Linked DNA regions of Arabidopsis thaliana. The protein of the gene in region 1 purifies or fractionates together with the protein of each later gene. This does not show direct contact. Each region holds a gene or a part of one and is shown in the gene's direction. Other genes may lie near its edges.

Region 1 (4,576 bases):
AGGAAGCCAACGGCTCATCACCGATTGAAGCACGTTTTTTGGATCCTTGTTCTGAAGTTCGCGTGGTGGAATAGACAAATTGAAAGATTTGATAACTTTCTCAAGAACGGCTTTATCCCCACCAGGATCTAGTGCAGCTTCATAAACCTGCCACAAAGGCTCAAGCACAAACTGCACAAACATTGGTTTCGCCTTGCTTCCAGCACTTAAATTCTTCTTCCCTACTATCATCTTAGTCTTAGGAATATAATAACGAGGACCCCATAACGATTTCTGCAACGCAGTCGCACTAGCTCCAAGCTTGGAGGCATAAAAATTAGCAAACTCCGCAATCCCAAAACCCCACCCGTCTAAAGCACACACGAATACTACATTACCTTTCTGAGGCTGAAAAGTAACTTCTTCATCATCCTCCAACAACTCAAGACTCTCAGCAGACAACTCCCCTGAAGGACTAGCAAGTATAGAATCAACATCCGACAAATACTTCTCTGACTTATACGCACTCACAATCCCGTTAACCTCATGAACAATCCTAATCAAACGAGTATACGCCTCCATAGGACTCAACCTCAACTCAAAAATCAACCTATCAATCTTATTAAGCACCAAACAAGGAGTCAACTTCTCTATCCAAGCTTGACGCAACACAGCATGCGTTTGAATATGAACTCCCTCAACAGCATCAACCAAAACCAACGCACCGTCACTTAACCGAGCAGCTGTTGAGACTTCACTACAGAAATCCATATGACCAGGAGAATCAATCAGGTTCAAAGAATAGTCTTTATATTTAAGAGAAATCGAAGAGCTCTTCATCGTGATTGCACGTCTCTGTTCTTCATCTAGATAGTCCATGAACCTAAGCTTCCCGGCAAGTCTCGGGTGAAGAACACCGCCACCGGAAGAAGCAATTAGGTGATCGGCGAGAGTCGTCTTACCGTGGTCTACATGTGCTAGTATACATATGTTCCTAACTTTCCTACCTTCAGATTCATCCATCTCTTCAATTTACAAAACACACAGCTACCTGCAGATTCAATATATACAAGGATTACATTATCAGAATCGATGCGATTCAAATTAGTAGAGAAAACTTCAACAAAACATAATCCAAATCCTAAAACCTTGTGTGAGAGCTCACGAATTTTTGAATCGAATCCACAGAGTTGTGCACGTCTCGTAAGAATCAAAGAGAGATAAAAACGAGAGAGATGCTCTTTGAAGATTCCATAATATTTTAAAAAGTTCGATTCAAAAATTGAGTGATATGTAAAAAAATCACCTTAATCAGTTGATGGAGCTCAGACGTTTGAAGAAGAATGGTGCGAAACTTGCTTCGGCGGCGAAACAACGGCGGCGCAGGGTTTGGCGATTTCCCTCTGCAAGTTTGTCTGTATAAACATATACAAGAAGACGTGAACGTTTTTGATTTTAATTAAACCGGAACCCTGTAAACCAGAGAGACGGTTTAGTGCTCTCTTTTAACAATTTTAATTATAGTCTCGGACTCTTCAACCGGAATAAACCGGTCTAAAACGTTTTTAATTTCAATTGTACCGAAACCCTCTGACTCACAAAAAGTGTTTAGTGCTCTTTAAACAATTTTAATTTTTAAATCGTCTTGGGACTTTTAAACCGGAATAAATCTTTCGGGTCAAAATTTCCGAACCCTAACTTTAGCCCCAAATTAGAGAGAGATGCAGAAACGGGAGCTTGGGAAATCCGGCGGTAATTCCGGTGGATCTTCGGGTCCACCAGCGAAGAGAGGCCGTCCCTTCGGTAGTACAAGTGCTAACTCAGCTGCTGCTGCTGCAGCGGCGGCAGCAGCGGACGCGATGTCACCGTCAGCTTTACTTGGTCCTTCTCTTCTAGTTCACAATTCCTTCGTCGGTAAGCTCGCAATGACCACTCTATAATTCCTCTCTGTTTTCTTCTTGTGAACGAGTTTTTAATCGGTAATTTTCATTGGGATCATTGGAATTTATAGAGCAGAACAATAGAAGAATAGTTCTTGCGTTGCAGAGTGGTTTGAAGAGTGAGGTGACATGGGCATTGAACACACTTACGTTGCTTTCCTTCAAGGAAAAAGAAGATATTCGAAGAGATGTCATGCCTCTTGCTAAGATAGCTGGCTTGCTTGATGCCCTTCTCTTAATTGTGAGTTTATTTAATTGTTTAGGTGTTGGGATTGTGTTTTCCTCTCTGTTCTTTGAACCAACATGATGCTAAAACTTTGGCAGATAGATGATTGGCGTGACATAGCTCTCCCAAAGGACCTGACAAGAGGAACTAGAGTTAGAACTTTAGGTACAAATGCTTCAGTTACGGGATTTGGCAATGAGTATGATGCTCTAGCCTCTATTCAACCCCCTGGGTGAGCTAATTTCGATACTGCTTTGATTACAGTTTTAAATGATTGTTGCTTATATTTAGAATTAGAACCTAAGTGTTGTTAATATTTGGCCTAGCAGATCCGGGATTGGTTCTTCTGCTGCTGAGGCATTAGGAAAAAAGAGCACTGGTAAACATCAGTCATCTCAGTGGTGGATGGAAGAGGATGGTTTGTTTAATCTAGACGATGAAGGGAGATCAGAGAAACAAATGTGTGCTATTGCTGCATCGAACGTTATCCGCAACTTCTCCTTCATGCCTGATAATGAAGTTGTAATGGCTCAGCATCGCCATTGCTTAGAAACTGTTTTCCAGTGCATACACGATCATATGACCGGTAAGGAAGAATACTAATGTTTTGATACATACAATCCCAACCTTTTTGTTTCTTTTACTAGTTATAATTCCTTACATTTGCTTCTGATAGATTCTTATTTCTTATTGGTTTGAATTGGCTTGAATGTATTCTCTCTGTTTCCTTATTTGCTTGATACTTGATTGGGAACTATGGTCTTAAGACAATCTTTTGTTAACAGAGGATGAAGAGCTGGTCACAAACTCGCTAGAGACAATTGTAAACCTAGCGCATTTGATGGATCTTCGAATTTTCAGCTCGCTTAAGCAGTCATACATCAACATAAAGTGAGAAGTTGTATCTCCCTGCATTCTTAGTTACACAATCCATAACTTGTTTCAAATACCAATGTGAATCATTCATTACTCTTGTGCATATAGTGAAAAGAAAGCTGTTCAAGCTGTGGTCGGAATCCTCAATTCTTCTGTCAAAGCTTGGAATTGTGCTGCTGCTGAGTTGCTAGGGCGTTTGATAATCAATCCGGACAATGAACCTTTCATTAGTCCTTTAATTCCGCAGGTTTGTTAACTTCTATAATCTTCATATGGTTTCTGGCTACTTACTCGTTTTAACTAGTATTTAAACCCAACAATGGACCTATCCCTTGCAGATACACAAGCGACTAATCGATCTTTTGAGCATACAAGCCGTTGATGCACAAGCTGCAGCTGTTGGAGCACTCTACAATCTCGTGGAAGTTAACATGGATTGCAGATTAAAGCTAGCAAGTGAGAGATGGTAAACAAAAACTATACTCCCTCTCTATCGAATACAATCAAACTGTTTTTAGATCGCAACAATGACACACCATTATGATCTTTTTCAGGGCGGTTGATAGGTTGCTGAAAGTGATAAAGACTCCGCATCCGGTTCCAGAAGTATGTAGGAAAGCTGCAATGATCCTTGAGAACCTTGTCTCGGAGCCTCAAAACAGAGGATTGCTACTCGCGTATGAGAATGCTTTCGCTGAGCTGCTTTTTCAAGAGGGTAAGTATTCTGATTCATTTGCTAGGATTTTGTATGAACTCACTGCTAGATCTAATAGCAGAGTTGCTTCAGCTAGAGGAATCTGGGGCATGTAAAAGTCTTCTCTAGATTAGTGGGTTTGATTAATTGATTGTGTTGTAAACTTTAATCATTTGCTATGTATTAAAAAAGCAGTGTTGTTGAACAAAAAGTAGATGGATTCTTCTCTCGCATAGCTTCGACATGTGTTTTGTTTGATCTTTACTAAAAACAAATTTGAGATATTTTGTGATTCAAATTGAAAATAAAATAACCCAAATAATCACGTTTTGACGTTAGAATAGTGTATTGGTTAATCATATTCATATACTATACAATAAACTAACAAGAATTAAGTCACACATAATACAGTGTTTTGTCTTTACATTTTTTGTTATTATTACTCTTTCTTCAAAATCAATGTGTCTTTTCTTGTAGACGAGGAGACGTTTTCTCTTGTTATACATTTTTATTTGGATTCGGTTCGTATAGTAGAACATAATTATATTTTGAACAACCATAACCATTAACCACCTAATTAACCCATAAATTGTGACCAACAACTTTCTACAACGCGAACTAGAGCATTTCTACAAACGTTAATTGCGTATTCCACATATATTTTGCTAAACTTGAATTTCGTGAAGATTTTAGTAACCTTCTTCTTTGGTATATTATGGAGTTGAAAGAATATATAACCGTTGCTTTAAACACACATACCTGTATTTCGAGACAACTCATCTCAAAACTAAACTCTAAAATCAAGTTATTGCAATCTTTCTTTCTTTATGTTCATACAAGATAGTGGTTAACTGATTCACA
Region 2 (4,251 bases), 7.5 Mb from region 1:
TCATGATTTTAGAAAATCGGAATAATGAATAGTGTACTTATTTGGACACTGAATAAGAAGTTACACAAGTCCCGATTGAAATTTAATTTACTAATGATCGTTACAAAATTATTTGTCTCTTTGTCATCAATCCTGTTAGTGAATATTAGAATTATTATTCATTGTAAACAAATAGGATCATCCAGATTGAGAAGTAAATAATTTTATGTATGTTACAAATGAAATAATTAATTGATCGTAAAACCTCTCTGACCTTATATATATCGAGTCTCACTATTCAACTTTTTCATTGCACTTGTCGTACAAAGGAGTAAACATTGATATGGGAAAGGTATGTGCATTCCTGTCTTTGGTAATTCCAGTAATTTGTTAAGTAAATTATGTGAACTTATATTTTGTGTTTTGGATTTGGTTCTAAAGAACAAGCAAAATGGAGAATCAGACAACAAGTCTGAAAAGAAGAACCAGAAAAATGGAGATTCATCAGTCGATAAGTCTGATAAGAAAAATCAATGTAAAGAAATTGTTCTGAAGGTTTACATGCACTGTGAAGGATGTGCATCACAAGTTTCTCATTGCTTGAGGGGCTATGATGGTAATACTCTATTAAAAGAAACATTATTAGATTACTTTCCCTCTTTAATGGAATCATATATATATGGTCTCGATCATAAGAATCAATGTCAAATATTTAATCATTTATCATTGAGTGAAATTGTACTATAATTTAACTTAAGCATTATCTAGTCTGGTTTCAGTTTTATTTTTCTTTCCTGTAATCTAGAGAAGTTGTCTATTAATTCCCACAATGACATAACGAATAGTAATCTCTAGTTCTTAAAGCATCAATTAAAAAATAGGATTACCGTTTTTTTCTTCTTACTCATGACTCATAAGTAGCTATTATCTTATTTGTCTTATAGGGGTTGAGCATATTAAGACAGAGATAGGAGACAATAAAGTTGTTGTGTCTGGAAAATTTGATGATCCGTTGAAGATATTACGAAGAGTGCAAAAGAAATTTAGTAGAAATGCTGAGATGATTTCCCCAAAACATAACCCTAAACAAGATCAGAAGGAGCCACAGCAAAAGAAAGAAGTAAGTTATTTCCAATTATTTCGTGTTAGAACTTAGATATATACTCTCATTTATATCATACCTTGTCTAATTAATCTGAGAATAACAACTAACATATCTAATCATTTCTAAATATTTTTTGCATGATTTTAGAGTGCTCCCGAGATCAAAACTGCAATTTTAAGAATGAACATGCACTGTGAAGGATGTGTTCATGAAATCAAAAGAGGCATTGAAAAAATAAAAGGTAATCTTTGTATATACATATAGAAATAATACGATATCGAAAGTTAAAAAAAACAACTTAGAATATGTTTGTTTGTTTTGACAAATTAAAAGGCATTCAATCGGTGGAACCAGACCGGTCAAAGTCAACGGTAGTGGTACGAGGAGTCATGGATCCTCCAAAACTTGTGGAGAAAATCAAGAAAAAACTTGGGAAACATGCAGAGCTTCTAAGTCAAATTACAGAGAAAGGCAAAGACAATAATAAGAAGAACAATAATAAGAAGGAAGAAAGTGATGGAAACAAAATCTTTAGTTACCCTCCTCAGTATTCATCTCAACATGCTTATCCCTCTCAGATTTTTAGCGACGAAAATGTACATTCTTGTTCAATCATGTGATTTTTTGACCCGTAAAATTAGAGTCTTTTTAAGTTATCTTTTATGGTTTTGATTTCCTTGCTACACATTTCTATATCTCAATAGATTTTAATTTAATTTAATTTTTGAGTGACACTTTATGAAAGTAAGATTTGGTGTCATGTGTATACTCGATTACTAGATTATGTTTGTAGTTGTGGGCCTTTTGTACAATTATTTGTAAAAAAAAATTAACAGGGCATTAGAGTATAAAAAAAAAGAATGTGGGTATATATTATATTTTAATAACTTAGGGTCTATTTTGTAATATAATATAAGTTGAGAGTACTTGTTGCATTTAACCCAAAAAGAAAAAGACAAGGGAGGACGAAGATGAATTGTCTCAATTTTTAGGGTTCATCAAAATTTGAACAAAAGGGACCTGTTTTGCTCAATTTTTGATAGCAGAAGACGAATCTGGATCTGGGGTCACTTCAAGTAAGTAAAGAGTTAACCTTTTGCTTTTTTTTGTACCATAAATTGTGTTCGAATGGTACGATTGAGAAATTGCTTACGAATCAATGAAATAACAGTTAAGATTTTGATGATGAATGCTCATGAAAATCTATTTAAGTTTGATTGAGAAATTGAAGAAGAGAATAAGAAATCGAGAGATTTATTGCGTAAATGGTAATACTTTATGTTTCAGTTCTGCTATTTAGATCCAAGCTTGAATATGTATCCCTTAGCTTTATTTCTGTAGGTTAAGATTGTTTGGTTGTTGAATGTTCTTTGTTTGTGCATTGCCTTTGCAGGATTGAATTAAGAGGTTTTTAAGTAAGTTGAGATGTCAGTTAAAGCAAGGAGAATTTCTGGTAGATTAGAGACTGTAGTAACTAAGGTTAATTATGCATTTGATCCTGTTGACGATGACAAAATCATAAGAAACCGGCTTCTAACCCGAACCACGACCACTCGAGGCGAGCCTCCATTGAAGAAACTTCAGAAGAAGTTCACTTCTTTTGTACTCGAGGTGGATAAAGAAGAAGAGAACTATAACGACTGCGGTAGACTTGCCAAAGCTTTTTTACAGGAACTGTCAACTTTCGAGATTCCGCTTCTGAAGAGCCAAGCGGTTGTGGAAGCAAACCTTAGGGAGAAAGAGAGCTTTAATGAGGTGAAAGATGAGACGGAAAGGCAGATAATGCAGGCGAAAGCTGAGATTGAAGATCTAAAGAAGCAGCTTGAGGAGAGTAAAATAGATAGACAGCATAAAGAAGAGTGTGAGACGATAAGGAAACTGATTTCTGCGCAACCGCCAAGGTCAGAGACAGAGAAGGTTATATATGAATTGAACAAGGAGATTGCTGAGCTTGAAGCAGAGAGCACTGCAAGTTGGAGATTGCTTGAGCTAAGGAAGAAGCAGTTTGCTCTCCTGATGCATGTGGTAATGTCAAAAAACCGAACCTTTTACGTTTCAGTCTTCATTACGTGATCTATGTTTGAAGTTTGAGTTTGTGATTGTGAACGTTTTTGGGAATGTAGGTGGATGAGTTGCAGAACACAATGGAAGATGAGCAGAAGAGTTTGGTGGACGAGATTCGGTCAGCGTCGGAAGATCAGAGGAACATAACCGACGCTATGTCTGTTGATTAAGTCCAAATCTCGATAAAACCTGCATCATGTTTCAAGCGTTTGCTTTGTCATCTGTTTCCTGTTTCTGATATGCCTATGTTAACCAAAACTGCGGCAGCTCAGTATACTGAAACCTGTGATTCGGATAGAAGAACTGAGAAACAAAGATTGTTTCTTTCAAATTTGCAGATGCAAGAAAGATTGTATCATTGTAAAATGCAGATGTTTAAGAAATTATGGTTTGTATAACCGGTTAAGAAATACCAATTTCTTGGTAATGTACTTTTTTACTCCAAACCGAGGCTGAACTGTTGATTCAATTAAACCGAGGTGGTTTACTATAAATTAATTACGTCGTGACGGGTTTGCTTTTGAACCGGCTTAGAAATTAGAAATTAAACAGTGTTCCGCTTTTGACTTGGTTCGATAGGTTTGGGTTGCCCGATCATATTTATGGTTTTGCATTTGAGGTTTTTGTGTGTTTTAGATGTAGTCTAATTTGCCCCCAAAAAAAAAAAATGTAGTCTAATTTTGGTTGGTGCGGTTTCTATTTTCGGTGTCGAGAATAATTTTTACAAGTGTGATTGCATAATGAATATTTCATGCAAATCGATATCCACAAGCAAAGCTTAATGTTGATTTTTGGCAATATTTAATTATTAATAAAAAATAATAATGCGACCGACTAGCCAAATAGGCTTTATTGTCGTAATTGTAGGTTTCTATTTTCTTGAGAAATATTTGAGCAGCATTAGTGTTCGTATGTTAACACACGTTTCTCCGTTATTTTACTTGAGTCTCTCCTGTCTTAATCTTAAACACTAAAAATTAACTTTGAGTGTTTAATTTACACTAGAAATTCTAATGTTATCTTTTTGCTTTGACTCTAAAGACTAAAGTTATACTTTAGATTAGACATACGAATATATTCCAAAAATATTCCACCTTACCATT

The links. The genes of interacting proteins can lie anywhere in the genome.
Region 2: the proteins of LFR (region 1) and THO7 fractionate together in Arabidopsis thaliana (co-fractionation; one large-scale study listed by BioGRID). This does not show direct contact.

Annotation. Positions count from the first base shown.
Region 1 is NC_003074.8:8,162,315-8,166,890, forward strand, and holds LFR (ARM repeat superfamily protein), read left to right. Parts: upstream 1-1,626; 5' UTR 1,627-1,700; coding exon 1,701-1,893; intron 1,894-1,990; coding exon 1,991-2,160; intron 2,161-2,243; coding exon 2,244-2,377; intron 2,378-2,474; coding exon 2,475-2,731; intron 2,732-2,930; coding exon 2,931-3,036; intron 3,037-3,129; coding exon 3,130-3,268; intron 3,269-3,359; coding exon 3,360-3,487; intron 3,488-3,575; coding exon 3,576-3,831; 3' UTR 3,832-4,036; downstream 4,037-4,576. Other genes in the region: AT3G22980 (Ribosomal protein S5/Elongation factor G/III/V family protein), read right to left, coding at 1-1,002. UniProt on the Arabidopsis thaliana protein: Involved in leaf and flower development. Plays roles in leaf development partly by associating with AS2 and repressing KNAT1/BP transcription. Required for the formation of anther cell layers and normal expression of genes that regulates anther development.
Region 2 is NC_003074.8:664,698-668,948, reverse strand, and holds THO7 (Tho complex subunit 7/Mft1p), read left to right. Parts: upstream 1-2,026; 5' UTR 2,027-2,160; exon of another isoform or gene 2,161-2,352; intron 2,353-2,477; 5' UTR 2,478-2,509; coding exon 2,510-3,109; intron 3,110-3,207; coding exon 3,208-3,318; 3' UTR 3,319-3,726; downstream 3,727-4,251. Other genes in the region: AT3G02960 (Heavy metal transport/detoxification superfamily protein), read left to right, coding at 323-331, 421-595, 924-1,099, 1,232-1,325, 1,418-1,704. UniProt on the Arabidopsis thaliana protein: Acts as a component of the THO subcomplex of the TREX complex which is thought to couple mRNA transcription, processing and nuclear export.